Linked DNA regions of Schizosaccharomyces pombe. Changing the gene in region 2 together with the main gene of any one other region gives a genetic interaction. Each region holds a gene or a part of one and is shown on either strand. Other genes may lie near its edges. The genes, in order: dhp1, trm6 and tol1.

Region 1 (12,481 bases), on a different chromosome or scaffold from region 2:
GACATTCATGCCACCTTTATACAAAAACTTAATTATGATTTAATTAATCTTTTATATGAGCCATTTCATAACATTTACTCAAGCTTCATTAAGCCAATTGATGATAGACGACTTGAATTTGATGAACAAAGCAAAAGCTTTTATGGATCTTTGTCGCGTTATCTATCAGCTAAAAAGGACAAAAAGGGAGGAGACTCTAAATTTTTTCAAAAAGAGAAAACGTTTGCCTTACAACGATATGATTACTATTGTTTTATGCAAGACCTTCACGATGGTTCCATTATTAATGATATTAACGGTATTTTTTTGCAGTACTTTCATCGCCAATATGACCATATTGCACTTTTTAGTAATTTGATGAATAGTGTTCTTCCGAATCTTCAGCAACTCAATTTAAAACTTGAAAAAACAAAATGGAGTACAACCAGACGTGACAAGGGCAGAGAGATGCATCGTTCCCAGGTAATTCAAACTAGCGGTCGTCCAAAGTCCATGGCACCGCCTTCACCATCTCCGATTTCCCCTTCTTTCCCTTTACATGAAATACAGAGTCCTATGCCAAATCGTCGCATGGCAGCCTCTGCAGATGATATTAGCCAGACAAGCAATTTTACAACGGAGATAAAGGGAAAGTGCATTTCTAATGGGGGTAGTGCAAGCCCTGACAAGATTTTTAAAGAGGGTCTACTCTTAGTATTTGGTGCTACCGAACTTGGTACAGATCTAGCTATGGTTAGTAAAGCCGCTTGGCACAAGCACTGGATTGTTGTTGAGAACGGTTCTTTATGGGAGTATGCAAACTGGAAAGATTCCGTAAAATCTAATGTTTCATCCATTTCGTTAAAACATGCATCTGCTGATAAAGTTCGCAAACAGGGAAGGAGGTTTTGTTTCGAAGTTGTAACTCCGAAATTGAAGCGACTTTATCAAGCCACGTCTGCTGAAGAGATGGACTCGTGGATTGAAGCTATATGCGAAGCAGCAAAGATTTCGTCTTTCCAACTTTCTAGGGTTGCAACGCCGTTGAGTGCAAGTGTGAGACGACCCTCTAAGGTATTTCCACTATTTTCTACGAGTTTTGAGACCACGCCTATCAGCCGAAAATTAAGCGGTTCGGGTATTAAGAAGGCTTTCAGTAGAAAAGGCTCGTGGAACCTTCAACAATTTTTTCGATCAGACAATTCGGGTACTATGCATATGGAACAGTTAGAGAGATACCATGCCAGTGCAAACATTTTCATTCAAATGCTCCGAAAGACCGATGTCTCTAACAGTGTGTGTGCAGATTGCGGTTCGGTTAAAGATGTTACTTGGTGCTCGATCAATATACCGGTAGTTCTTTGTATTGAATGCAGTGGTATACATAGGTCTTTAGGTACTCATATATCGAAAACACGTTCTTTGCTACTCGACTCGTTATCGCAGCAATCGAAAGTCCTTTTGTGCAAAATTGGTAATGCTGCTGTCAACCGTGTTTATGAAAAAGGACTTTCTAATCCTTCGCTGAAGCCAAAGCCGGAGCATAATGCGCAGGTGAAGTTGGCATTTGCCCAGAAGAAGTATGTGGAACACGCATTCATTGACTTTGCAGGAGTAGATGCTGATGCTACTTTATTGGAGGGTTTGGAGCAAAATAAAATCTCCAAAATATTACTAGGTTTAGCCGCCAAACCAAATTTTGAAGAGAATGGAGTGGTGTTTTTAAAAGCGGTTACTCGTGATACTAGTAAGTTACATCTCTTGGAACTTTTATTCATGAATGGGTTATTGCTTCCTGACTCCGAACAGTTGTCGGAGCATGTAAGTCCAGATATGCAATCATATCTTTCGCAAAAACAATTTACAAAGTATTTGAAAGAGTAGGGAGAAGCATTTTTACTTTTTGCATCAAATCATCTTTTATGTTCATTTTTCCAATCGAATTCATTCTTTCTTTTTACCATCTATTTCAATATCTATTCAGGTGTCATTTCATTTCGGATTTCCGTGAATTCCATGATTTGAAGCGCAACGAATTTGAATGGAGAGCTTATTAATCTCCACAGCTTTACTCTTATTCGGATCATGTGTTAATTCTATAATTTATTATTGCAATTTATTTTGGTTGTTTGCTAAACAACGTAATTTACTCATTATTTTCTTGGTCATCTTTTGGTTTTCGAACTTTCTTTTCCTCTTTATTTTCATTATACTCTTAATCTTTTTTCTTTCAATACAAAATTTTTTGACTAAGGATACAGCTATTCTTTCTTTAAATACGCATTCAAATGCGATTTTTAGGCTCTTCTCGATTGATGGATCTTATGCATGCCATAAGTTCATTTGTTATTGAACAAGATCAATATTCAATATACGTGAAATTAACATGTATGCCAAACAGTTCATTCGAGCTATTATAACATTTATTTTCTTCTTTTGCGAAACGAAGACGCTTAAGATTTTATTTTTCAACACATTCGGAACAACTGAATATCTATAGTAATTGAATCCCCTTTTTCTAAAAATGACAGACGATATTATCATTACCTATAAACTAGTTGACACAGTAATAAATATCATTCTTTTGTAACTTGTAGATAAACAAAAACAATTTTTTTGGTCTTGCCTTCCGTAACATTCAAACAACGATTTCTATTTGTGTAGTTGCTGCTTGAATGTAAATCCCTTTTTCTTCTTTAGATTTACAATAGATTGAAAACTAGTTTGATGTCGACATTCTTCTTATCAAAGACATGGAAGTTTGATCACCTTGCTAAATTTCTTTTTGATAACAAGGTGTAATTTGGATTGGAGGATTTCGCTAGCCACGTGCTTAATAAGTTACATTGAGATTTCAGGAATATAATATTTTGGAGCTCAAAATTATCGCAAGCTAGATATTCTGAGACTAGCCTACAAATCAGGACATCTTCCCTCGTATCTTTGCTTTCTACTCATTCCTCTTCCTTCACCTAAAATTTCAAGTCGGTGATTGTTTATATGAACAGTAAATTTTTTGGACTCGTTCAAAAAGGCACAAGATCCTTTTTTCCTTCATTAAATTTTTGCTATACAAGGAACATCATGTCTGTCTCAGCTTCATCTCTGGTTCCTAAAGATTTTCGTGCTTTTCGTATTGGCTTGGTTCAGCTTGCCAATACCAAAGACAAGAGCGAAAATTTACAACTCGCTCGTTTAAAAGTATTGGAAGCCGCTAAAAACGGTTCTAATGTCATTGTATTACCAGAAATTTTCAATTCACCATATGGTACTGGTTACTTTAATCAGTATGCTGAACCTATAGAGGAATCATCTCCTTCTTACCAAGCTTTATCCTCTATGGCAAAGGTTTGTTAATTTAATTTTCGTTGATTATGTGAGACTAACGGTACTGTAGGATACTAAGACTTACTTATTTGGCGGTTCTATTCCTGAACGCAAGGATGGCAAATTATACAACACTGCAATGGTGTTTGATCCTTCTGGAAAATTGATAGCCGTTCATCGGAAAATTCATTTATTCGATATTGACATTCCTGGTGGAGTTAGCTTCCGCGAATCTGATAGTCTTTCACCTGGCGACGCCATGACTATGGTTGACACTGAATACGGGAAGTTTGGTTTGGGTATTTGTTACGATATACGATTTCCGGAACTCGCTATGATAGCAGCTAGAAATGGCTGTAGTGTGATGATTTACCCTGGAGCATTTAATTTGTCCACAGGCCCTTTACATTGGGAACTACTTGCACGAGCCCGAGCAGTTGATAATGAGATGTTCGTTGCTTGCTGTGCCCCTGCTAGAGATATGAACGCTGACTATCATTCATGGGGACATTCTACTGTTGTAGACCCTTTCGGAAAAGTTATTGCTACTACTGATGAAAAACCGTCTATCGTTTACGCAGATATTGATCCCTCTGTCATGTCTACCGCTCGAAACAGCGTTCCTATCTATACTCAACGCCGCTTTGATGTTTATTCAGAAGTATTACCTGCTCTTAAGAAAGAGGAATAGATCGGTATAGTTGTTGAGTATAATTTTATGTTATCAACATGCATTTTGTAACTGAATTGCATAACTAATTATGCAATGTGCCAATGAAATTCAAATAATCAGATATATTATTTATCTCCAATATCCCAAACCCGCTTTCAAAATTGTACTAAGAAAACTTAAATGTATTAATAGTAGCCATTCCTGTTATTATTGTTATAGGATTCTCGCTGATAGCCGTAACCCTTTCCGCGATTACTACTATAGTGGTTACCAGCTGGCGGTCCATTCGAATAACCACCACCTCTCGAGCGCCCGCCGTATCCTTCGTGGCCGCCGCGAGAGTTATAGCTTGCATTAGAACGAGGAAAATTGCCATTACCAGACCAAGGAGGTTGAACTCCACCGTTTGCAAAACCATTAGTAACTCCAGTGTAGCTCTGTCGACTACTGTAACTTTGCGATTGGTAAGAGCGTCGGACACCATAACTTTGGTGTCCTCCACGATACGAATTACCATTGTTTCGGCGGGAAGAAAAGCTCCTCTCTGCACGTACTTGGTTGATATCTTCTGGGGTTAACACCCTGTTCGGCATTTTCACTCCCCTTAAAAGCATGGATTTATGTACGAAATGCGATTTAGGTACTTCAAACACAAGACTTATAGATTGATTATCATCTATGCTTCCATACTTCTGAAGGGCGTCAGCGGATGTAACATCAATTGGGCATTGAACGGATACATTGGGAATTACGGAATCATTGGTGTTAACTTTGCCAAACAATCCATGTGCCATCTTTCCGGATAACTTAAGTGGTTTACCTTGACGTTTCTTGGAGTAAAGTTGTTTGACAAGTTCGCTAAACATTGGATGATGTTCAGAAATAAATAATAAAGTAGAACCATCCTCATTTCTTTTTGACTCTTCCTCGGTAAGTTGAGGATAGATTTTTGATACAGCATTCAAAAGCCGATTTTCATCTATAAATGGTAAAAGAGCAACTCCCTGCCATTCAAATTTTTTCCCGTTTAAATCAATAGTAAAATTTTCCGGGTAAAAGTCAATAATTTCAGAGTTTTCATCAGTCATAAGAGTTTGCAATTTTTCAGGTAAATTATTTTTACTAGCAGCAGGTAAAACGCCTAGTAATTGTTCGTAAGGCTTGAAGGGTTGATTTAGTTCAAATTTTACATCTATGGAGGCCAAATCTTTGAAATCAGCGGCAAAAGGAGCATAATGATATGGATAATACCAGGTCCAAGATGGACAGCCTTGATAATAATACAAAAGAACCCAGCACAATCCATGAACATAATGTTTAACAGCTTCACGAATTTTTTCTGGTTCATCGGGTGAAATGTGGAATTTTTGTTCATAATACCGTTCGCGGTATCCAGGCTCATACAGGCGGACTGTATCAGTATTTTCATTTTCTTCAGTCGAATCTGGGGCCTTTCTCTTCTGACCCACATTTGAAACTTTTGTGTCTATTGGATGTACAACAGGGGTACTAGATTCAATACTATCGGTATCTTCATATGCACTGGATGAAGCTATGCTGTCTTCCAAAGGAACATTTTGTAGTGTCTCATTTGAAACCAACTGAGCTTTCAATGCAGAGGCCGCCAATTTGTTAACTGAAGAAACAGCAGCTGCTTCCCTAGAAAGTCCAAGACGGTTAGCAGCGCGATTATTAATTAATTCTCTATTAGTAGCGCCTAGAGATCGATTTGAAGTTTTTTCAGACAAATTAACCAAATCCACTGGAGCCGGAGCGTCAATTTTTTGAGTTTTCTTTGGCGGTTTAGTATCAACAGAAGTTGATTTAGAAGAGGTAACAACTTCTGTCGATTGCGTCTCAACTGAACGCTGAATTACGACGTTGTCAACATAAGATTCTGATTCCTGATTTGACTCGCGTTGTTGACGGCGTCTATAGTTTTCGTTACGACGATCTTCTTGCTGTTTAAGACGCTTAAAAATATCATCTTCCTGGTTACCTACAGCACTCAGAATGACTTCAGCACGAGCTAAATTAACAGAACCATCCAAAGTAAGATAACCACCCATGTGCGGAAGACTAGCTCGCCATATTTCAGTCAACCGCTCTACGGCACCATCACGAATATCTAAACTAGGCAAATGAGGAAGAAAATCATTACCCACAAAAAAGATAAAGAAGACCCAGTCGTCAATCGCACGTTCTAAGTCAAATGGAAAAGGTAAATTGGGGACATAAAGTTCCACTTCTAGATACTCCCTCAAAATGCTAACGTTGAGCCATATAAATGGTTTTTTTACAGGAACCTTATTGGTCTCAGAAACATCATCAAGTCTCTTGATGCCAAGACGCTCTTCCTTTGTCTTTTTAGTACTTCCTTGTTGAAAGAAGACATCTTCACGCAATACACGAAAATGGGGTTCATGAGTAGCCAAACCAAGCATAATTAGGTCTGCATCTAAACCGTAAACAACGTGGTGTGTATTTGGATCATACTCTGGTTTCACTCGTTGAGATCGAATAAATTCCATGATCTTATGCTCACCTTCACCAGGAACCGAGGCGTCAGAAAGTATAAATCTGACATTTCTCCAGCACGGATCACTATTTAGTTTATTTATTATGTAGTAACGAAGAGACTTGGCCAAAGTGTCCATGAAAGGTGTGCCGGGGGTAATGCAATTACTGTCCCAAGATTTTTTCTTCGTAGCGTTTTCGTCGATGGGAATTCCCTGTTGTTTTGCCTCCTCAATGAAGGCTTGTAATTCTTCTTCTTTGAGAGCTGCTTCACGAGAAGAACGAAAACGACGTGATCTCTGCTGATTCATTTTGGCTCTAGGAGCCACGCCATCGATTGCAATGAACAATAACTGACGAGGACGAACCATGGCAAGAATACGATCCGTGTATTCAAAGACAGCAACCATCATCTCGTCTTCAGTCTCTGGAGCGGGGCGATCTTCAGGATGGGAACAAGGATGAACAATACCATTCATATCCAAATACAAGTTGTCGCATTCCACTCCGTTTGGATTGGGAAGACTTAAATCTGGTTCAATTTCAGTACCATCTGGAAGCTTTTCAGTAGGAGCCTCAATAACAGGTGTAATGACCTTTGCGAATTTCCTCGACAAAAGGCGGAAAAGTGCTGGAACACCCATTTTTTGGTGTAAAGGAGAAAATACTCAATCGAATAAATCTTCTCCAAACCAAATGCTTCAAAAAAGCCCAAATTGGTAAATTTTAGATACTAAAGACTACGAGTGTAGTATAAGTTGAAGATTTAATATTTAGGTATTTTAATCTAGATCTAGCGTAGTCTCCGCAGTCCTACCTAAATTTTTTAACGCACATTGGAGTAAATTGGAAATTACTAACGTACTCGCTATACAATAGTTAAAATCTAGTCTCTTAAGTGTAAGCTACGCAGTTTGGTATCTGATTTAAGGATACGTAGAACTGCGGTGAGTTTTCCTTGTGATCTATTATATTACAATACACAGGTTGTATAAGTAGCAACTGAGTATAGGTATTGTATTAACTGGGTTATAATGTTACCTATCACTAATATAGCTCATAACTGAACTGAGGAACGAGGTTCAGCAGTAGCTCTATTTATAGTATTCAGATAATATTGATCTTAATAGATTATCATTAAGATCAATCTCCATATCGTATCATACATGGTACGATATATAATTAGAACATGTGACATATAGTGATACTCAACGTAGTGTATTATAGCGTAGTGTAGTATTGCTGACATTGCCCTCCCCAAGATTTTCTATGTAAATCTGAGGATAAGTCATATGTTCTCAGATATTTAGATTATTGTTTTTAATATAATCATTGACAATTGCTTTGTCCGCTTGTAGCGCTGTAGCTAATGTAGTCCATCCTGACATAATAGTACTCGGATTTAGATTCGAAATGTACTTGACATTTAAGTAGAGTACTTGTTCTCTGTTTTTATGTTCTAGGATATGAAGAATTGTTCCAATATCAGACTCATCAATGGTAGCGTAATTGAGTTCTGAATTATGTCGATACTTTTCTAGGTGAGAAACATGAAAAGTAGATGAAAACATGTGCTTGATTGAATCTGGAAGATCCAATTCATAGTTGTTTGGACCCGACTTCTGTAACACATAGAACGGTCCTGCAAAACTAGGTGCTAATTTATTGGATTTATGAAGAAAACCTGTTTTCGTTCTTTTGACCATAACTAGGTCTCCAGGTTGAAATTCTTCAATTTCTTGTATTTTCATATCGAAATACTTTTTCATCTTTATGTTGTTTGTATTCAAGTGTTCTTTAACTGTTTGAAATACTTGGATCGTTTCCTGAGAGTTTTCGTCAGTTTTGTCACTAAAGCTAGGTAACTCTAAAGGTGATAAAGCTGGTGAATAGCGATGTACTATCTCAAAAGGTGTCATTTGAGTTGCTGAATGTATCGCATTGTTGTAAGATTGTTGCACTAGGGATATATGATCTACCCATGTATTTGGATGTGTGCTACATACACATCTTAGTAATTTCTCCACAGTTTGGTTTGTACGCTCAGTTTGTCCATCAGTTTGTGGTCTGTATGGTAACGAAAATTTCATAACGAAATTATATTTATGTGCGAAATCTTTCCACGTTTGGGAAGTAAAAATATGATCATTATCTGCAATGATTTCTTTTGGATTGCCGAAATAAGCAATAACTCGTTGATCAAACATTCGAGCTGTTTGCTCTGCTGTAATGGATTTCGTACAAGGTACTAAGATTGCCATTTTTGAAAATCGGTCAACTACCACGAAAAGTGCATTATAACCAGATGATTCTGGTAAAGCTGTAATAAAATCCATTGATAAAGATTCCCAAGGTCTTTCTGATGGGGGAATTGGTTGTAAAGGTCCATAAGGTTTATGATTCCTAGATTTGTTTATTTGACATGTATGGCAGTTCTGTACATATTCTTGTATTTGTTTTCTTATTCCTTTCCACGTAAATCTACGTAATATAATGTTTGTAAGAAGTTCAATGCCTGGATGAATCAATTTACCTTCTTCATGATACTTTTTAATAATTGTCCTAGTCAGCTGAGTATCATTAGGTAATAAGATTTGGTCTTTACTGTTAATTAGTAAGCCATCTTTGAGTTGGATATTCTCTTCCACTCGTTTGTCTTCATTGTTTAGTAAATTCAACAATTTTGTATCATTCGTATATTCTGTAACCACTTGGTTTTTAAAATCATCGGTTATCGAGATTTGATTAACAAAGTTGATACTATTGTCTTCTGAATCTTTTGGAATTGGTTCTGTTTCGTCAACAATTCTGGATAAGGCATCAGCTATGTGATTTGCTGATCCAGGTCTGTAGTTAATTTCAAAGTTGAAGTCTTGTAAAAATAATTGCCAACGAGCTAAACGTTTGTTTTCAGGCTCGGATTCGTTAGTAATGCGACCAATTAAGTTTCGATGGTCTGTTAAAATTTTGAAAGGTTCGATAGTGGATTCTAAATAGTGTCTCCAATGTTTGAGAGACTTAATGATTGCAAGCATTTCTTTGTCCGATACGCTATAATTTAATTGTGCTTTAGACATCTTTGCTGAATAGTATCCAACAGGATAGTATTTATCATCATCATGTTTTTGAGACAATACGGCTCCTACAGCGACATCTGAAGCATCAGTTTCCAGTAGAATCTTTTTACTGAAATCAAAGTGTCGTAGCACCGGAGGAGAAACTAAACATTGTTTAATGTTTTCTATCGCTTGGGTTTGTGTTGGTGTCCATTTCCAGCGTACATCCTTTTTCAAAAGATTATTGAGTGGATGTGTTAATTGTGATGTCTTTGGAATGAATTTCCTAAGATAATTGACAGAACCTAGAAATTGTCGTAATTCTTTACGATTCTTAGGTTGCTTCCATTGTAAGACTTTGTCTATATTTTCTTGACAAGGCGTAAATCCTTTTTCCGAAATGTGATACCCTATAAATTTTACTTGTGATTGGTGAAATTCACATTTTGCTTGATTGATAATTAAGTTCGCATTTTTCAATTTCTGTAGAACGTCTTTAACATGTTTTACATGTTCAGATTCCGATTTTGAATGAATTAAAATATCATCCATATAACATACTACATGTGATTCTTTGGCTTCACCAAGTATTGTATTGATAAAGTATTGAAAATGTGCTGGAGCTGTAGATATGCCATAAGGCATTACTAGATATTCAAAAACTCCACGAGGACAGCGAAAAGCAAGTTTATGTTCATCTCCTTTTCTTACTCGTATCAAGTGATAGGCACTTTTGAGGTCAAGTTTAGTAAAAATTGTAGAACCTTGTATTTTAGCAAGTAATTGTTCAATAAGTGGTAACGGATATATATTGGGTTTGACATACTTATTTAAAGGTTTGTAGTCAACCACCATTCTCAAGGTGCCTTCCTTTTTCGGAACGAACATTACTGGACAGGCGTTAATGGCTTTAGATTCTCGTATAATTCCACTTTTTAATCCTTGATTAATTTCATCATTCATAGCTTGCATTTTTCCCGGTGGTAGCGGGTAATTTCTGATAGGTAATCTGTAGTTTTCTTGAGTTAGTTCAACTTCAAATTCTAACCCTTTTATTGGCTTTGGTAGCTTTTCCGTATTGGTTTCTGCAGTAATGTCTTTGAATTCTTTATAGATATCTGGTAACTCAGGTTCCTTGACAATATTTGAAACTTTGTTCATTTGAGAGAGCGTGTGTTTACTGCTAGATATTTCAATGTTATTGTCATATAATGTTGTGAAGGAGATAGCAGCTGGATGCGAAAATTTCTTTACAACCAAGAATTCTGTTTTGATTGATATTCCATTTAGACTTATGTTAAGTTTTATTGTTTTGCGATTAATCTTATTTGGATAAACTCCACCATATATCACACTTTTTGACCAGGGTCTGGTAGGCAGTTTATGTGCTCGAACAGTTTCTTCTGTTATAATATTTGCTTGAGCGCCCGTATCGATTAGACAGGGTATTGAGCACTTGAAGTCTGGAAGTTCAGCTTGTAATACCATTTCGTAACGTTTCCTAGTATGATTTAGGAATTTGTTAGATGAGTATTCTATTCTCGAAACATTTGTCTTCCTCAGGTTTCTGCTATTAGTGGTGTTATTTTTCTTTGAAAGGGACTCTTTTCCTAGATTTTTATTTTGCAGTTGAAAACGCTTGTGAGTTTTACCATACGAGGCTGTTCTTTTGTCCTCTAAAAAGTCATAAATTTCACTGATTTCTGATTTCCAGTAATTTCTTTCCTTTAATTTCCTTAAGGAATATGGCAGCATCCATAATATAAACAAGCGAGTATGGAAATCATCAACATTTGCTTTTGACATGAGTTTCCTTATAAATTGAACTTTGTCCAATTGATTTCTAAAACCTTCAAATGTTTTAGTTAAACGATCACCTTTGTTGGATCCTTGTACTTTCCCTGTTTGTCTGAGTAATTCTTGCCATGTAAGACTTCCATTCTCAGAAAACATGCGTTCAGCGAATTGTTGCTCTAATTCTTCTAGGTGATTCAATGTATACTGTCTTTTAGTATGCTCATTTGGGAATAATGAAGGGTATTCAGTAAAGTGTTGATCAAGTTTTGAAATGTAACTTTCAACATCCTTATTAGGATCGAATTTCCCTATCTCTGGTACATGCTTCGATAATATTTTTGCAAAAAGGTTTATTAAATGTTCGTCTGATGTTTGAATTCCATCCAAATTCTCTGGTCTCCATCGTTTTGCTCTTGCTTTCATATAACGATAATTTGCGTAGGACATTGTATATGTTTCCCTTTGGGAGATTTCAAAAGGGATAACAGTCCTTCCAAAGTTCTTTCTCCTTTGAACCCAGAAGGAGAGAAATATATATATTTATGATATATATTTATTCAATAATTCCTTTTTCCTAAAGGAGTTAATTGTAGATCACAAGAGTTCAGTTATTGTAAGCTACGCAGTTTGGTATCTGATTTAAGGATACGTAGAACTGCGGTGAGTTTTCCTTGTGATCTATTATATTACAATACACAGGTTGTATAAGTAGCAACTGAGTATAGGTATTGTATTAACTGGGTTATAATGTTACCTATCACTAATATAGCTCATAACTGAACTGAGGAACGAGGTTCAGCAGTAGCTCTATTTATAGTATTCAGATAATATTGATCTTAATAGATTATCATTAAGATCAATCTCCATATCGTATCATACATGGTACGATATATAATTAGAACATGTGACATATAGTGATACTCAACGTAGTGTATTATAGCGTAGTGTAGTATTGCTGACATTAAGATAACTTTTACGAAATGCGTAGATGAATATGCTATTTAAAAGTTATATGTAAAATATGAGCTGTCAGAAAAAGCGAATAAATGAGTGTTCTCGAAGCTGGATCAATGTCTTTTACTCAATTTTTTACACAAGATTTTGCAACTTTGCCACTTTTGAAATATGACTT
Region 2 (9,679 bases):
TATGAAAAAGGACATTAACTCTTTACAAACGTTAAATCCAGATCTAATACTTAAAGATGTAAAGGCTACTCAAAATTTCCGCAGTATAATTCACAGATGGGGTTTTAAAAACTTATTTCGAAGCGCATTTATGTTTTTCTCTGGTTTAGCTTCAATCGCTGGATCAATTTACTTTTGATAACAAAACATAATTGTAATGTATCGTTTACGTGTTAACTCTTGCGTTCCGATATTCGTTGATGATCAAATAATATTAAGTTCTAATTTTTCTACTGCTGATTATTAAAACACTATATCACGTAGTTAAGTTCGTGAAATTTAAACTATTAAAAAATGCTAAAATTAAGAGAGCACATTTTTATTTTTAAAACGATTCGCTTATAAATTGTTCATACTGCTCAAACATTGTTGTTTGGATTCTATAGTTTGTCAGCTTCAAACAAGTCGACTGAATCAAATTTTTACAAAACGCTTTTCAAAAACGAAACGACTGTTGAAAAACACGGGTTGTTCAATGTTCAGTCATGCAACCAGCGATGCTTTGGGTCTATCAAGGTGTATAAAAGAATAAACATTAGCGGATTGGTTAAGTCTTCAACCTTTTGGTAATTATATGTAACCCATTAACATTTATTCGTAATACCTTTACGAAATCTCGGTATAGGATATCGTTTCAATGCTTGTTCTTCTTGCGTAATACATGAGCAGATAAGTATAGTTTTTAAAGCACTCTACAAGAACTTAACAAAACTCCTAAGTTAAATATCAAATAACAACGACTAATCCTTTTGGTTTATATAAGAGAACACCTTTTTTCGGGTCGTTAAATACATGTCCATAAATTTTGAGTTCATCATGATTGAAACGAAGACGAAGCTCAATCTAGAGAAACGAGGATACTTCATCTGTACTCATTATAAGAAATGCAGTTCATTGGTCGTTTGCAGGCTGGGCTCTAGGTTGAGAGCCATTGGAATTCCTGTATTGGTTATATTGATTTCTTGCATATCCACGTCCACGACCTCTACCACCACGTCCACGACCACGTCCACGACGGCCGCGATTTCCAGAGCCAGCAACGCCAAATGTCTCCATGTTCAAAGAACGTTCGCGATCTCGTAGAGCTCTTCTATCTGCAGCTTCCATACCCTTCTCTTTACTTTCACAACTAATATTATCAAAAAAAGATTGCTTAGGCTTGTAAAATTCTTCGGCTTCTTCATCATTTTTTCCTTTTAACAAATCATCTTTCATCGATTGAAACTTTTGATTTGCAGTTTGAAAGTCAAATTCGGTACGAGGCTTTGCAGCACTAGCATCAGGTTGAGTTGTAGGAACTTCTTTAGAAGGTCCAGATGTTTCAACGGTTTGGGATTGAGAGACATCCACAGTAGTATTCACAACACGGTCATTTGTGACAGTGGAATTCCGTATACTAGTACTTTCTTTTTCAATAGATGCTTCAATGGAGGGCTGTGCACCTGGTATCACTCCATTCGTGGGCGGCATGGATTGAAGAGACGGAGATGCAGATACCGCGGTAGGACCAGGAGCAGGCATGCCCGGAGCAAAGTTGGGAGGCTTCTGGTTTGAAGGCATTCCGTATCCAGGACGTACGTTGTACGGGGCCTGACCGGCAAACCCTTGAGAAACATTTTGAGCAAACTCAGGACGTTGACCCATTTGCTGTTGATCAGGTGCCCCATAATACGGGACCGCAGGTGTGGATGCGTCTAAGGGAGTACCCAAAGGCAAACCTCCAGGAGGTACAAATTGAGCGGGAGCATTCGGGTACATATAGTAAGGTGCACCTGCTGGAGGAGCCTGTTGGTATGGAGCTCCATAAGGGTTAGGTTGAACAGGCTGAGGAGGTTGGGCAGTCTGCGCTTGGTTCCAATTATACTGCCCGCTATTAGACTAATTATAGTTAAAATCATGATCTTGTCAGATATATAAAGAGTGCCAAAGATAATTAATACTAGATATACTAATGAGAATCTCCACCACTCTTTAGACGTAACATACCCCAATAATTGCAGGATCATTAGGAGGTTGAACCGGGGGAGCAGAAGGAGTAGTAGCAGGTTCCTCAATCCGTAAATCTTTAACATCGCTTCCACGAAAAACAATGTAATCAAATACATTATCTGATGGGGGGATTTCTTGAGAGGGATCTTGTTTTCTTCCTTCAGTACCACACCAACGGACTAAACTGTTAGTAATCAATGCTGGGTACTCAACCTACCATGCTTCAAAGCCAGTGTTGAGTCCTGGGAATTGATGTCCTGCAAAATGCCCACATAACTAAATATTAGTAAAGGAAAGATAATGCTCTCACGTACCGAATGTCAGATTTGCTAATTAGACTAATACGAGAACCAATAAATTCAGTCATTGGTTATAAACTCGACGAAGTAAAGCTTAGTGGTGAAAGGAGCGTGGTTAGGTGTCCTTTCGAAATTAACGAACTTGGCGATAGCGCTAGTATGGGGTTCATTATACCGAGTAAATAAGACCAAAATGCGACATTGTCATTTATAAGCTGTTTTTTCATCAGTTTTTATATTTATTTAAAATTAACATGCTTAAGATCAAAAAGGCTATCCACAGCTGCTCTGACCATGTACTACTTATTTTACTTAAATACGTATATGTGCAGCAGTCAAATTGTAACTAATTTTATACTTATTACAAGTAATCTATTTTTAAAAAGAATGAAAATGCCAAGCAAAAGACACTGTACTTTAACGCTCTTCAAAATTGAGTTAACCTGAAACCGCACCGTCAATTACATTATCCAACTAACATATTCATTTTCTGATACGTATGAAAATTTTAAGTTAAAGAATGAAACAAAAAACTTTTTAATATAACAAAAACCTTTTCCCAATTCAACGTAACTGAGTTTATGTCCAAAATTGTAACTCCCCTTGTTGATCTAATAGAGTAGCCTTGAAAAAAATATTCCAAAAGTAATATTTCATATCTAATTTTCCAATTTTGCTTTTTTGACAGAAGAAGTTTCTTTCTGGCCCTTACGTTTTGGAAACCTTCCGGCAGCTAGATTGCTGTCAGAAGTTAACACCTTGATCCCAGATAAAACGAAACCCATATCACCCCTAACAGTCATGAATGGATGAGTCCTTTCTGGCAAGACTTGGTAAGGTCGTGTACGAATCTCATGAATATCCAGCATGATGACTTTCTCTTTCTGTGTATCAATAGCAACGTCTCCTTGATCAACCTTTTCGTCATTTTCAGTACTTTGAGCTGTCTTTTCTACAAATAAGTTATCCCATTTAGATAATTGATGATACGTCTCGACTAAGACTTGCTGATATGTTGAGTATACCATGAAAGGACGTGATATACCGAGCTTTGGAAGAAGATGTTGAAGAACAGACATTGGGGTGTGAATAGATAGTATAAAGAGAGCATCATAGTTACCACTTTCAAAATCATCAATAGTATTCTTCAAACGGTTAAATGTAGCTTTCTTCGTTTCATAGCGCTTACGGTGGCGAAGTTTCATCTCATTCAACTCTGATTCAGGAATATCTTCAACCGAATACTCACTTAAAGTCTCGGTTGGATTCGTAACTTGATACCAATTCAAAGTTTTCAAAATCCCTTTTTGAACCAAACTATCCTCTTTAAAGTCTTGCCCCCAATACTCTAAACAAGAGCTATTAGGTTGCTCATTTGGATGGACCAGGGTTATTTTGCAATCACCAGCAACACGGTCAATAAGAGAACCAAGGAACATGCATCCAGTCTCATCAACTACCAAATATCTACCCCCAGGTTTAACATTTCCAAGAGTAAGCATCAAGCTTATACACTCGGCAGTAAGATCAAGTATCTTATACGGATCATGTTCAATCATGTAATTAGCCACAACTTCAACACAAGGTCGTAAAACCTGAAAGCGTTGAAGATACTTTTCCCCTTTTCTCGTAACATATTTCTCCTGAGCAAATAAAGTTTTTTGCTCAAAAGTTTTACTACTATTAGTCAACTGTTTGATGGCCTCTTCAGCACGAAGTCCACCAGCTTTAATGTTTGCGCGCAGTTCATCAATCTCCTCTTGAGTCATAAGCTGATTGCCTCGACAATCATTAAGTTCTTGATTCGTTTTCTTTTCTTCCTCGATATACTGTACCTCCCTTGTTTTTAAAACTCGAATTTTTTTGGGTTGATAAATTTCAAAAGTTTCGTCAAAATGCTTTCCAAACAAATCATCAGCGAGAAATGAACCAAATTTTCCGAGGTGAATTGTACTATTTAATATAAAGTCAGTAAGATCAATATGAACGAGATAAACTAGATCACCTCTATCTCCTTATGCAAAAAACAATTTCAATTGCTATCATTGAAAATGTACTTTAAATTGTAAATTAAGATCCTCATACTTACTTGTTTGGTTTCAATGTTACAAAACGAACATTGTCTGAAGGAAGCTTGATGAAAACGCTGCTGTTTTCGGAAATAGTTGATGCATGCCTCAGCATATTGTTCTTGGCAGTCCTCAGCAGTTGTGTCACGGCCTAAGCAATTTACATGATACATTCAAAATAGAATTATTCATGCTTAATGTTGTTCTCTGTAAAGATTGTGGGAAGAAGTAAGTTTTTTTTCTTTTCTTACGAAAATTCTTTGATTTCTTTGAAAAACTGATTTTTACAACAATCTCAATGTTCTTGTACACAAATGCCTCAGATTGCCCCATTAGAAAGATGTCTAACCCATGAGAATACATTATTACGTTTTTTACTCTAACTACTCATAGTTTCCTGCTGCTCTAATTATTATTCATCAGCTTTGTATTCATTTTTTTACTGTCCCAAGCTATATACTTCAACATCAGTTATGTATTTGAAATTTGTGCTTTTTTTTAAACGAAATGTAGTTCTTTTAATTATTTATACAATACTGATCAATTTGGATCACAGCCTTCATAAGCTCCATACAGTCTCTTAGCCAAAACAGAACCCCCGATTTGATAGACGGGCTACTAAACCAGAAAAATCGTATTCCTTTTTAACGATATACCTTGATACAAAACAAATTATGCTTTTTCAAAGGAGACTTCATTTTCATCAGTTTTTTGGGAAGACACGTGTCACAGGTAGTTTAAGTCGGCAATGGTATAGTAAATTACCAAGTAAACTGGCTGATATAAAGAAGTTGAGATCTGAAACCAATGCATCCATGGATCTTGTGAAGCAATCCGTTGAAGAGGCTGGTGTTGGAAACCTCGAGCTAGCTAGAGAGATTTTAAAAAAAAAGATCGTTCAGCGAGGTGGTAAGCTTGCTGAAAAATCGAAGAATCGTACCGCTAAAGAAGGTTGGATTATTCAATGCATTAGTGAAGATGGGAGGAAGGCTGTAATGGCCGAGATTAATTGTGAATCCGACTTTGTTGCTCAAACTACACCTTTTCAAGACTTAGCTAGAAGGATCGCCTCTACCTTCCTTCATTATCTTCCAACAAATCATTCTTCTTATTCTGTTGAAGCAACTTTAAAAAATGAGATTTTGAAACACCAAGCATATGTATCCAAAAATCATGAAGCCAATGAAAAAGATGTTTCAAGTAATGTATCTTTGGAGGAAGAAATTGTGAAAATGACTTCTTTTACAGGGGAAAAAGTTCAAGTACAGAGGCTCCATTGTATGAATGCAAGGGTTCCTAGTACTGCCATAGGTATATTTTCTCATGGTGCGAAACAATCTTCACCATTGCAACAATTAGGGCGTATTGGATCTATGGTACAAATCAACTCTGACTTAAGTACCCGAAAGGGATTATCGAATCAAATCGCTAAAGAAATTGTAGCTCAAGACCCATCCTCAACCTCTGAACTGCTTTCATTTCGTTCATTAGTGGATTCCGAAAAAACTATAAAAGACGTACTTGGACAGTCAACCATATTGGAATGGGTTCGCTGGGAGCGAGGGGGAAATTAATGATGCTTTCTCGCTTCAACTTTTGATTCAATTAATACCAATCCCCGCTTTATGCTTATTACAGATACTACACCTAAAGATGCGATAGTTAATGACAAAAGAAATTATTTTTTCTCTTCTTCAATATCTCCAGTACTCTTTTAAACTATAAAATACCTACATTATGTTTATGTGATCTTTATATTATAGACCAAAACATTGTTATAAAAGTTTAACTTTTACAAACACCATGCACCATATTTTATTACCTAAATACCTATAACACTAAGCAAAAACATTATCCAAAGGATCCTCTGGGATTACGTTCTGCTGAGCCCTAACTTGACGTTCAAGTTTGCTTTCTTGACGATTAACATAACGTTGAGCAGCTTGATTACGAATAGCAGCACGAACCATCGTACTACTGACAAAAGTATCGTTTTTATAGATGACAGGGCCACCAAAGGAGCCTTCGAGGATATTAATGATAGTCATTACAAAGCGAGGACCAATTTCAATCAGAGTGACAGGGTCTTTCGACTTATCCTCATTTTCGCGTATTTCGTAATTTCTAAACCAAATTTTTCCATCCGCAATAGTCAATGTGCATACCCGGTCTATAAAGGGCTTGCTACGACGAGCGCCCTTGGGGATACCGAAAGTTTGTTGCAACAGCTCTTTAACAACTTTAAGATGAGGAGCCGTATCAAAAGTTTTGTCAAACGAAAGAATAGGTCTGGAACCTTTAAGAGCATTTCCAGTCATATTTAACTCATCCATGGTGTGAAGATTTTCAACATGAAATTTTACAGTTGGACCGTTTGGAGCTCGAGCAATGTGAAGATACAAGTCTTCTCTTCTCCTAGACTCAAAAAAGAAAATATTATTACAGTTGTAGAGTTCGGCAAGCTCATTTAATTGATAAAGACGATCTTTCGAATCTAGTTTGCTGTCCTTTTTTGAATGAGGCATCATGCTGACCAAATCATTAAGCAAATGTCGCTGACGATATGTGACACCCCTAGAGGAAAGAACTAGGACTTTTTGTTTAATAGGAACAAATCCGGCAGAATGCTTATTTCCTTGACCGTTTTGAACAGGAACGTATTCCTCGTCCTCATCCTCATTCTTTGGAGCCCTTTCACTTGTTTTCAACTTATACACTGTACTCATTTTTTTTAAATCGTTTTATAAAAGCCTAATAACAGTGTTCCAAATAAATCAAAACTTTTTCCGCGTAACTCTAGTATAAGCCGGAACAAGGCTAAGAAACAAATAAATGCAACGTTTTTATATTTCGATCTATCAAATCCTCAATTACGGAAGGGCAATTAGTAGCGACACAAGAGATATACGCTGCTGACAAGTTTTTCGTCGTAATAAAAGAGCTTTTGAAGAGAAAAAAATTACGGCGGAGCGTTGCAATTCGTTATATATAATGTGCTATGCATAAACTCTACTTTTGCTAGGAATTCTCCTTGCCCTTATGTAATATTTTATATACTTTTAAAAAGATTTACATGAGGATATACCTGTTCTATAAAGGAGCACATGTTGAGTTTTAATGGAAATTTACCAATCCAATCTTTCACTTACAAATTGAGAAAATAAAAGGTGAAATTGATGAAGATCCTAATCTTTTTATGATTAGAAAGCTTAAAACACCTGACTGAGTAAGCTTCTTTTTGCAAGCAATGCATTATTTTAATGTCTATTTACATGTTTAGCATACTTCCTTCCGTATCATCAATAAATATCGTTAGACTTCTTTATTAAGGAATTGTTTTGATTAAGTGTACACCGCACTTCACTACAAACCAAACACCAAAAACCTCGTAGAAACCCTGGAAAGACGTTCGAAATGAGAGAGATCATTTCCATTCACGTTGGCCAAGCAGGAACTCAAATCGGAAATGCTTGTTGGGAACTGTATTGTTTAGAACATGGTATTCAACCAAATGGTTACATGAATCCTGAGACTGCATCCCAAAATAGTGATGGCGGGTTTTCTACTTTTTTCTCAGAAACTGGTCAAGGAAAATACGTTCCTAGAAGTATTTATGTAGATCTTGAACCGAATGTGATCGACCAAGTTCGTACTGGCCCATACCGTGATCTTTTCCATCCAGAGCAATTAATTACGGGCAAGGAAGATGCATCAAACAATTATGCTCGTGGTCACTACACTGTTGGAAAAGAGCTGGTTGATGAAGTAACTGACAAGATTCGTCGTATTGCCGATAATTGCTCCGGCCTTCAGGGCTTTCTCGTCTTCCATTCGTTTGGAGGTGGTACCGGTTCAGGCTTTGGTGCCCTTTTACTTGAACGCTTGGCCATGGAATACACGAAAAAATCAAAGCTTCAATTTTCTGTGTATCCGGCTCCTCAAGTTAGTACTTCTGTAGTTGAACCTTATAACTCCGTTTTGACTACCCATGCTACGTTGGACCTTGCTGACTGTACATTTATGGTTGACAACGAATCGTGCTATGATATTTGCCGTAGAAACTTAGATATTGAGCGTCCTTCCTATGAGAATCTCAATAGATTGATCGCTCAGGTTGTTTCTTCCATCACCGCCTCTCTTCGCTTCGAGGGCAGCTTGAATGTTGATTTGGCAGAATTCCAAACGAATTTGGTACCTTATCCTCGTATTCATTTCCCTCTCGTCACTTATGCACCAATTGTTAGTGCCGCCAAGGCCTTCCATGAATCTAACAGCGTTCAAGAAATCACCAATCAATGTTTTGAACCCTACAACCAAATGGTTAAATGTGATCCTCGTGCCGGTCGCTACATGGCAACGTGTTTGCTGTATCGTGGTGATGTTATCCCTCGCGATGTTCAAGCTGCTGTAACGACCATTAAGGCCAAGCGTACAATTCAGTTCGTTGACTGGTGTCCTACTGGATTCAAAATCGGTATTTGTGATCGTCCACCCCAACACATTGAAGGTAGTGAAATTGCTAAGGTTGACCGTGCCGTCTGTATGCTCTCCAATACTACCTCTATTGCGGAGGCTTGGTCAAGGCTCGATCACAAATTTGATCTCATGTATAGCAAGCGTGCTTTTGTTCATTGGTATGTTGGTGAAGGTATGGAAGAAGGCGAGTTTTCTGAAGCTCGTGAGGATCTTGCTGCTCTTGAACGCGATTATGAGGAAGTTGGTCAAGATTCGATGGAAGTCGATTACATGGAAGAAGAGTACTAAAGAATTTCGTTTATATGCTTTAAAGATTTTCATTTAATAACCTTCTTTTATACGTATTATATTTTTTTTTTACTTTTTCTCAATCTCTCTCACACTCTCTACATGACATATACAAAATTGCTAATACTACTTTTCTTTTACCTTACAAATGTTGCAATCGGTGAACGCTGTCAAAGTTTATTCACAATAACTAGAAGTATAAATTTTCTTTTGACATTCCCATGCAACTATGCATTCCATTCCTTTACGTGTCTTTCTTTCTGGTTGCATCGTCATTAGATTAAACTTGTGCTATTATGGTTGCAACCACTTGTTTACTGCACTCTTTTTTGGTTCTACAGCTTTCCCCGATTAGTTTACATTTTCAATACCCATATTTTTTTATCCTATTAGATATCCGTAAACTGTTTTGAAACTAATTTCTCTTCCGAGTCGTGTTAAGAATAGAAATAGCCGTTTAACACTTGCGTAAGCATATACTTTCTGTTTGTAAAGCTTGGGGATATTTAATTGGAATTT
Region 3 (9,482 bases), on a different chromosome or scaffold from region 2:
GCAATTTTACAAATCGTATAGGAAGAAAAGCGATTTATCCACAACAAAAGAATAGCTAATGGTGAATGACTATTCGCACATCGACATATACAAAATAAGAACATAAACGTATTGCTATGCACAATCCATCCATTTTATGTATTGAGGAAATATAGTATTGGGGACATAAATTTTGAATATAGTTTTGAAGACAGATGCTTAATGCAAGCAGTAAAATGTAAGAGCATCTGAAAAATGAAAACGAGTGAATGATAGTTGGTAAAGCTGAACATAAACATTCTATATAAGGAAGAATTGTTTAGGCGACTAAGCGTTCCAAAAATGAATTCCCCGAGATGAATAGAAAACTGTCATAGACACAGTACATATATATACATCGATAATTGTGAGCGGCCTTATCAATTTGAAGCAGCCAAGCTTTAAACCATCTTCCAATCCGAGCCTTTTGCCAAGTTAAGTAGTGCCAAAATTTAATACTTCGAAATAAATTCTGGGAAGCGAAAATTAAAGTATGACATATATTAGAGGTGATGCAAAAATGGGAGATATTAAAATATTAGTTGGTTTACCACAGTTGTTTCCATTCACATTCCATTGTCATTCACTGGATGGCTTTAACAAAAAAGGAAGACATATGAATGCAAAGGCTATGAGAAAATTTTAAGAAGTAAAGTGATAATAAAATCGTCATAAAAAGAAATTATAATACAAGAAGAGGAGCTTGTGAGACTTCACCATAAACAAAAATAAAAAGAACAAATCCTTCTATTTTTCCTCACCAAATTTACCCCGCCACCATTTTAAAGTCAACTCCTTTATTTGATCCCAATAACTTTTACTCGAATCTCTTTCCTTCAAATACGTGTAGCCACGATAACAAATCCAAATAAAATCTGACAAGGCAATAAAGATGGCAACGAAGTTGTCTGCAAAGACTGCAACAAATGCGAATCGTTTGCATGAACCAGAGCAGTGCAACGGTTGGGCAAGTATAACGATAATCTGTATTTGAGGGAGAATCCACATAAAGATAAAAATTGCAGGATAAGCAAACAAAAACTTAGACTGACTTAAAATGCGTTTCCGTTGTTTAAGGAGGGGATCATCTTGCATATCATTTCCATATGCAGCCAAAACACTAGAAGCACCATCTTCGTCACTAGTCAATGGACTACTGAGTTTAAAACTCGTGTGATCTTCAAGGCCATTTGTGCGATTTGGACTATCCCTAAAATCCTGTTCGAAATGTATTCCTGATTGATTTAGATTAGCAGGAGTAGACTGCGAACCAGGAGGCAAATTAGGATGCACAGAGGATAGTAACGGTCTCGAATAGGGAGAAGGTTGAGACTGCGAGGAGTAAATGGATTGAGAATTAGATGGAGTATATGTTAAAGTACTGTTGGTGTCGGGAAATGGTGGAAGAGCTACTTGATCCGGAGCGGTAGGATACGAATCAATGACATTTAAAGTATCAAACACATTTGTTTGTTGATGTGAGTATTTCTTGAAACGTTTGATTTTCCTTCTGATCGAGATGAACATGCAAGTTTGTAAAGCAATAATTGCAATACTTAGCGCATAATCAAATGACCAATTCAAACCAAACATGAATCGTACAGGGGTATAGGGAAGGTAGCATCGGGTTTGTAAATTGACAAATGTATTTCTTTTATTGGTAAAAGCAAGTCCGCCAATAGTTAAAGGAATTACAAATGACAGTGTAAACACAGTATGCCGAAAACGATATAGACCCCTTCGTTCAGTATCAACATGGGGGAAAAGCACCAAAAGAGCATTATGCAATATGTTGATAAAAATCCAATAATCAGTCATCCGAACAAGTACCAAAAGAAAAAATCCAATTGTAAAGCATCGATGTTTTGGAGCCCAAAAAAAAGGATCGCTTAATGCTAGACATGGATGAATCATTTGCACAATGGAACGAATAAACAATACAGAAAAAAGAGCGATATGAAATTGTTCACGTATTGTTCGCCGACGAGACCATCGCCAGAAGATAGCAATTAAGCTGAAAACGATAGATATGGCTGAAGCTATAATGACCATGATTCTCAGGTTAGCTAACTCTCTGCGAGAGACAATGATGATGGAACTCGTACTCGTGGCATCGGAAACATTAAACGTATAATCTAAATGAAGCATGAGCAACCTTGTTCCTTATTACAAAGTTTAAACTTCTCTTCAAGAAGACAGGAAAAAAAAAGAGAGGAGAGGAGGTGAGAAAGTAAAAAACAAGAAAAGCAATATCAGAACGAAAAACAAAAAAAAAGACAAAAAAAAAAGGAATACTCCAAAGACAAATCTATGACTTCAGAAATGTTCAAATAGACAAACAAGAAAGCAAAACAGAATTTTCAGCCACTTGGGTAATCAGTCCTATTACCCTTAAGAAGTGCAAAAAATAGTATATCTCGTATATCCAATTACCCAAGATTGCATATCTGACCCTCGATTTTCTATAAATTGCTTCGTTCGCGAATATAAACAGTCTCTTCAAGTTGATGTAAAAAACTTAGCAAACTGGCAATATAGAAGGAGCTCTCTAAACTAAACGAGTTTGTTTCGAATATGAATTTGAATTCCCGTACTTTTATTTTTGTTTCTGTTTTCTTTTTTCCAAAAACAAGCTTCTCGTCTTTACTTTTCAATTAACTCAACTATTCTTTCGAAAGTTGTAGACACACGATTAAACTGTTAAAGGTAAAAGTTGAAATAGTAAATCTACTGCTTTTTCCTTTAATCGTGGCCGACGAAGCAGCTCAAAAGTGATAAACGAATGCAACCAGGAAAGCCGGACGCAAAACGGTGCCGACGATTATTAATAAAGCGCAGTCCCGTCTCGACACTCTTGGCAAGAAGAAAAGCGCAATTGACGTGAACAACCAACGATGTATTGTGCTTATAAAGAAAGCACTAGTGAAGTCACTTAGAGCTCAAAGCCACTTATGCACGTTTTGCAAGGCTCTTAATAGCGTGGCGAACCTTCTTAAGGATATTGAAGAATAGGGAAATCGGAGGCGGTATGGCTTGCAATTAACGCCGTACAGTGAATAAAGCGGTACTAAATCAAATCGGTGAAATTTACCGATAATTAAGGAAAAGACAAATCAATTGAAGGCGCCGTGGTTTGGGTTGGCTGATGGAGTTGGCTTGATTATAAGTAATGATGGCGGAGAGTTGCCGCCTTTGCTGTTGTGTATGAGTGTGTAGTGAATATGCACAAATATACCTCAACGACTAATGGATAAGGTGTTATAGCAAGTACAGTAGTTAAGTACCAATGCGGGATTTTTCTGAAAAAATATGCAAGCACACGGGCTTGACAGAAACACAAGAGGAGACAAATAAACCAAAGTCTCCGCACCTTAAGTCCACAGAAGAAGAATAAAAAAAAAGATCGCAATTGAATTATGTGAGGGGGCCCAGGCGTCAATAGTACAGAGTCGATTGACTAAGTAGATTTAAGATCACAAGCTGTAGAGCAAATCAGAAATTTGCACCTACGCAGAGACAATGAACAATTGTAATTTCAGAAAAAAAAATATCGACAACGATTCAAATTCCGAGTAATTTTCTAGCAAGACTATTGAAGAAAAAATTTCCCTAATCCCTTGATGAGCCTTGTCGCACTAACACAATATCGGCGATGCTTTCACACTCCTAGATGTGCTACCACCAACCATTATAACTTATGAAAAAAATTTGTAGTATCGCTGTAAACGAAATTTTTGTGTAAGAATGACGAGAGTTGTTTTTGCACAGACAAACGAGGTTCGGACGATCGGCCTATTTTTTAAGTACGATAGTGATTAGTATAGTATATCGTGAGGAGCAAATACAATCGCATAAAAAAAATCAGGGTGAAAAGAATCATTTCAGAGTGCGTTAATGAGAAAGTCCTCGTTATAAAAGAAAAAAAGGAACCGATGATTTAAAGTTATTGATGGTTTTAAAAAACAGCGTTTATTTTTACAGTGTTTAAAGTCAAGTCAATATTAGGCACAAGAAGAGGTCACACTTTATTTTCAAAAGAAAATGGATGAAATGCAACTCCATGCGTTGCGATAAGCGTTAAACACCAATCTAGGAAGCAGTCCCTCAACAGAAATGAAGCGAAAATCGAATGATGGTGAGAATAGAATAATAAAACGAGCCCCGGTAAATTGAAAGTTGATAGAATCAAGTTTCAATTAGGGGTAATGAAAACGTGCTTAAAAATAGGGAGTAATGTTGTAGTTACCAAAATGAACAATTCGGACCAGACCAATAAATATTGTCGAAATAAAACAAGGAGTGTTAAATTTTATTATTATGTCTTTATTCTCCTTGGAAACCGGTTCGTCCACGTGAAGAGAATTCTATTAGCATTGTCGAAACCGTTTGATCCGGTTATGCCTTCATATCTTTGAAAACATTTCCGCCAATTCCACCAAGTGAAAATCACAATATCGTTAGTCGGTATTGTCTTTAGGTTTACTAGCGGGGGCGTTTTTGTTTTGAGGAAAAAAGAATATTCTCTGGTTTCCATCTACCTTAAGTGCCGATTAGGCAGATAAGCTAGATTAAGTGAAATGGGAAACGGGATTCATTTTCCATTGACAACACTTTTAAACATTATTTGATAATTCGCATGCAACCCTTCAAAGTCGATTCGACATTTTAAGGTTTACTTCACGGACATTGAAATCATTGTGAAGCTTTGTAGACTGTTGTCTCTCTCGGAAGTACCCAAAAAAAAAAAAAAAATCCTTTTTACACTCATAACGTTCTAGCTGTTTCATCCCTTTAAAAAATATCATGTTTTTTTTTTGGTGCTCGGAACATTTACTTTCTCCACTTGGTTCGTCTATTTTTGAAGTTAAACTAACTATTTGACCATTTTCGTACTTAATGTCATGAACTCCTCTCGTGGATTGTTAAGTCAATTATCAAAACCAACCACCAACTCAATTTTAACCGTTGTAACCTGACCCATTATTAACACTAGTATTCATGCTGTACTTGCGGCAATTCCCCCATCAAAAAGTTTTCAGAGTTGTCTTTTGATACCGATTATGTGTCGTGGTGGAGGCTTACACCCCAAGGATCGGAACGGGATCTTCTCAATTTGATTTTAATGCTCTGCATGGACAAGCCTAAGGGAAAAGAGTCATGCAACAAGTAGAGAAATTTATTTCAACATTGTTGTGTTGGCGGTTTCTGTTTGCTAATCCTCAGCAACGATCATATGCAGTTGAGATCTCGACCAACTTTTCGTTAAATAATGTCAAAATTTGCAACAAATGTTTTATCACGGTACTCGAAGAATGTGAACTTAATGAAGTTTCTCATTTGGTTGCCAAATTGTGGTCACACATCAATTTTGTCGAAATAACCATTCCGATCCTGATTTCGTTCCATTTTTACTACTTTTTTAAATTTGGGATTAAGTTGAATTGGTCTGTCTTCCTACATCTTGTTCCATACCCGTTCCAAACTTTGACATAATTGGATGAAGCTGTCTTGTTTTAGATAGAATAATACCTTGGAGCGTAATTGCTTTTCCTCTTCAGTAAGTTCTGTTGGTAGGATTTGTGAAGTCGTTGGGGGTGATGGAATCAAATTTGCGTATGCTTGGTTCTCCGGTTGAGCAACCCACGAAGCCTGTGTCTGAGAGTTCAGCGGCGTAGCAGCAATAATGGGGTATTGTGAGTTTGCACCGTAAGAGTAGGCATTACGATTGGGATTAAAAGGTGATGAAGTTATCACCACGTTTTCATCCCAAGTGGGTTGTTGTGACGCAGTAATACTTTCAATTGATGTATCACTTCGAAGGGGCATTTGGGTCATGCCCGCATCCCCGCGGAATCGCTTAAGCGGTGGTGTATTGGAGAAGATTTCAGCATTTGGCATGACATGCTGCAGTGGTGCTGGATTGACATAGTTTGTGCTATTGTTCACAGCAGTTGTTGCTGTTTGGGTCATGGGGATATAACTCGGTTGTAATAAAAGATTTGGCTGTTGCGCCGATGACTTGTTATATGCATTGTTCATCAACGAAAGTTCCTGTGAGTTATTAGATTGACTTTGGGAGTTATTGAATTGCTTCTTCTCAGAGGAAGACTTTGCATCTTTGAACACCAGGCCTAGCTTCTCAAATTCAACTTTGGCTTTCATATAATGCACGTCAGATGGGAATTTCACTTGAAATCTTTTCATCACCTAAATTTATTAACAACAAAATACGCTTCATCAACACTCCATTTTTTTTTTTAAAAAAAGAGGCCTCAATGTGATTTTGAATAAATCTGCTTTTGTTTTACTTACATTATTAGTGAAAGCACGAATATTCATACACGGAGCGCGTGAAAGCAGAGTTAGACATTTTTCCTTCGTTCCCGGTATCAATTGGTGCCAGAGATCTAACAAGTTTATACTTTGCTGTTTGTTTGTTAAAAATATTGAATTTTTCTAGCAATATGGTTTCATGTCGCGTACAATTAATTCTTCGTGTTGACGAATTTGAAGCAATCCAGACGTTAATGAGAGTGTAAAACCTCCATCTGAATAATGTGACCAGTTGATATGGGAGGAATCTGTAGTATACGAATCCTCAGCTACAGAGTACTTAACAATTGGGAAAATGTTCATGTTTGTTTATGTTTGAATATGAGAAGACGCGTTAGACTGAACCTCATTTATCTGATAACGCAGTACGTTCCGTCACGGTGTATTACTTTTGTTTACATTTATGAGTTGACCTGAAAACGACTAGACTTTATGGAATGTAAGTCTTGTTATCACAATATATTACATATGATTGTAATTTGCCATAAGGAAACTATTTCTTCAATCTGTATTGAGGAATATCTGATTGTTCATTAATTTCTCAAGTCTCTTCAAACAACAGTATTTTGAGAGAAAGGAAATTTTATGAGCAGTTTCTTCTTTTACTAATCAATCCCTTTAAAATATTTTTATGCCTTCATTTCATCCTTGGTATCTACACTTATATAAAAATTTTAGGCATATTTGCCTGTTAAAGGGAAACGCAAGATACGGACTTGCACTGCTTTTAAATTATGCGTTTTTTCCATCAGAATGATATTTTTTTTCCTTAATATTATATTTCATCCTTTCTCCATAGGTTGGAAGGGTTGGCGAACTGCTTTGCCAATACCCAGACTTTAGTAGTGTCGTTTGTATAATTAATGAAAACCTAAAATGTGGACATGGAGAAACCTGTTTTAAAATATTAACATGCTCTTTTCACAATAGAAACTACATAATCATTATTGTTTAATAAAAGTTAGCATAACCTGCGATTTTACAAAAAAAAAAGGTCTTTTAGTCAGAAAAAATGAAACTCTTTCTCGTTTCATAACAATTTTTTAGTTCTTTCTTCTATTTGAACAATATTTTTGGTTAAATGTGGAAACGTCAATTAAACACCGTATATGCTGATTTCATATTCTTCGCACTTCCACTGCCCAGGTTTACAAAAATTTCCAAACTCCGTGTTAACAGGAAATTTGGTGCTAAAATCATACCTCCATTAATAAATAACATTAGAAAATTATTTACCATGAGCTTTGATGCCGAAAAACAATTAGCTATTGCTGCTGTGCGCAGAGCTAGCTATTTGACCGAAAAAGTGTTTAATCAACTTATCAAGGAGAAGAGTGCTGCTGGGGCACTTACTAAAGATGATAAATCACCTGTGACTATTGGCGATTTTGGTGCTCAAGCTATCGTAATCTCTATGTTAAAAGATGCATTTCCCAATGATCCAATTGTTGGCGAAGAGGATTCCGACTTTTTGAGAGAAAACACCCAAACCTGCTCTCGTGTTTGGGAATTAGTTCAAGAAACTATCCAACATGCTACTGAATACAAAGAGCTTGGTCAAATCAAGTCAGCTGAAGAAATGATGAGCATTATTGACCAAGGATCATATCACGGTGGTCGCAATGGTCGTATGTGGACTTTGGATCCCATTGATGGAACTAAAGGATTTCTACGTGGTGCCCAGTATGCTATTTGTTTAGCTTTGATTGAGAATGGAAAACCTGTGGTAAGTGCCATTGGATGCCCTAATCTTCCATATGACTTTAATCAGCCCGAGACAAGTCCCAAAGGTATCATAATGTCCGCTGTTCGTAACCATGGTTGCTTCCAGTATTCTCTCCATAACGAAAAATTAGAACCAGTTCAAGTGCACATGCAAGATGTTCAAAACACCAAGGATTCAAAATTTTGCGAAGGAGTAGAGGCTGGTCATTCAATGCAAGGAACTCAAGAAGAAATTGCAAAGTACTTAGGGATTACTCGTGGACCTACCAAGATGGATTCTCAAGCCAAATACGCTAGTCTTGCTCGTGGTGATGGTGACATCTACCTTCGTTTACCAACCAAAATGACATTTGAAGAAAAAATTTGGGATCATGCTGGTGGTTCTCTTCTTGTTGAAGAGGCTGGTGGTGTTGTTTCTGATATGTTTGGCAAACCTTTGGACTTTGGTGTAGGAAGAACTCTTAAGAACAATAACGGTGTTATAGCCGCCTACAAAGGTATTTTTGAAAAGGTAATTGAAGCTACTGCAGCTGTAACATCTAAAGACCCTCACTTTCAAAAGGTCGCCCAATAATCTGTCCGAAATATTCTAGCTTTAGGGCTTTATTTAGATTTTTCAGCATGTTAGCATATGCGTTATCGAGGATTCTACAAAAAATGTAATCTTGAAAATATTTACTTGCCATAAGCTTATGATTAGCTCCTTTTAATTAGATCAAAACAATTAACAACATGTTATATGTCTTTATGGATGACATATTTTATTTACCTTAAATTATGGATTATATAGTAGCAATGTTTAATTGTTCAGGTATAGTTACACAGGTCAGTATGAATAGGTTAATTGTATAGTTATTTTCCATATTACCTTACTATTTTACTTTTAGTATTCTCGTAAATTTACTATACGGTGGTGTTGATCAATTTCAAGGAATTTATGCCTTCAAGTGTGGTTTGGCTAATAACATGGACATGTTTTCTTAAAACGGTAAAACTTTTTAACAATTTTGATGAAACGAATATTGAGCTCATGATCCAAATTGGTATTTTGAGATCCTTCCTAAGTACTTTGACTTGCGCTACCTTGATTCCTGCTGAAAACGTTTGGAAAAGGCATGTAATAAAAGTTTTCTATGATAATATTTGAGACACCACATTTTTCGAAAAGAAATATAATTTTTTAACTCTTAGAACGGGTGATAATGTCATTTCCTACCGATATGGAGACAAATGAAATTTTGGATCAGTTAGACAAAATTGACGAAAGAAATGAAGATATTCTTTTAAAGTCTCTAAAAGCTTCTAAATGCACATATAAGCCCTGGAGCAGAGAAGAGTTTTTGAGACGATTGTTGACTTATAGAAGTCGGTGGGCTTATGTAAACGATCCTCAAATTGGTGAGATA

The links.
Region 1: of trm6 (region 2) and dhp1, a mutation in one rescues a mutant of the other (synthetic rescue), as found in Schizosaccharomyces pombe (one study listed by BioGRID).
Region 3: of trm6 (region 2) and tol1, a mutation in one rescues a mutant of the other (synthetic rescue), as found in Schizosaccharomyces pombe (one study listed by BioGRID).

The regions. Positions count from the first base shown.
Region 1 is NC_003424.3:3,353,753-3,366,233, forward strand, and holds dhp1 (5'-3' exoribonuclease Dhp1), read right to left. Parts: upstream 7,252-12,481; 5' UTR 7,141-7,251; coding exon 4,165-7,140; 3' UTR 3,998-4,164; coding exon of another isoform or gene 3,377-3,997; 3' UTR 3,328-3,376; coding exon of another isoform or gene 2,980-3,327; 3' UTR 2,392-2,979; downstream 1-2,391. Other genes in the region: cnt6 (centaurin ADOP ribosylation factor GTPase-activating protein), read left to right, coding at 1-1,863; SPOM_SPAC26A3.11 (mitochondrial omega-amidase), read left to right, coding at 2,980-3,327, 3,377-3,997; Tf2-4 (retrotransposable element/transposon Tf2-type), read right to left, coding at 7,795-11,796. UniProt on the Schizosaccharomyces pombe protein: Possesses 5'->3' exoribonuclease activity. Required for the processing of nuclear mRNA and rRNA precursors. May promote the termination of transcription by RNA polymerase II. Essential for vegetative cell growth and chromosome segregation.
Region 2 is NC_003423.3:260,206-269,884, reverse strand, and holds trm6 (translation initiation factor eIF-3 gamma subunit Gcd10), read right to left. Parts: upstream 4,531-9,679; 5' UTR 4,512-4,530; coding exon 4,417-4,511; intron 4,281-4,416; coding exon 2,987-4,280; 3' UTR 2,656-2,986; downstream 1-2,655. Other genes in the region: SPOM_SPBC800.14C (uncharacterized protein), read left to right, coding at 1-178; sum2 (translation initiation inhibitor), read right to left, coding at 931-1,917, 2,026-2,207, 2,246-2,304, 2,343-2,395; translation elongation factor EF-Ts Tsf1, read left to right, coding at 5,071-5,970; ribosome biogenesis protein brx1, read right to left, coding at 6,235-7,122; atb2 (tubulin alpha 2), read left to right, coding at 7,811-9,160. UniProt on the Schizosaccharomyces pombe protein: Substrate-binding subunit of tRNA (adenine-N(1)-)-methyltransferase, which catalyzes the formation of N(1)-methyladenine at position 58 (m1A58) in initiator methionyl-tRNA.
Region 3 is NC_003421.2:1,542,416-1,551,897, forward strand, and holds tol1 (3'(2'),5'-bisphosphate nucleotidase/inositol-1,4-bisphosphate 1-phosphatase), read left to right. Parts: upstream 1-7,488; 5' UTR 7,489-7,588; coding exon 7,589-8,650; 3' UTR 8,651-8,982; downstream 8,983-9,482. Other genes in the region: G-protein-coupled receptor Git3, read right to left, coding at 766-2,166; meiotic recombination protein Rec7, read right to left, coding at 5,473-6,225, 6,331-6,444, 6,502-6,654; zinc finger C3HC-type containing RNA export factor Rsm1, read left to right, coding at 9,279-9,482. UniProt on the Schizosaccharomyces pombe protein: Phosphatase that converts adenosine 3'-phosphate 5'-phosphosulfate (PAPS) to adenosine 5'-phosphosulfate (APS) and 3'(2')-phosphoadenosine 5'-phosphate (PAP) to AMP. May regulate the flux of sulfur in the sulfur-activation pathway by converting PAPS to APS.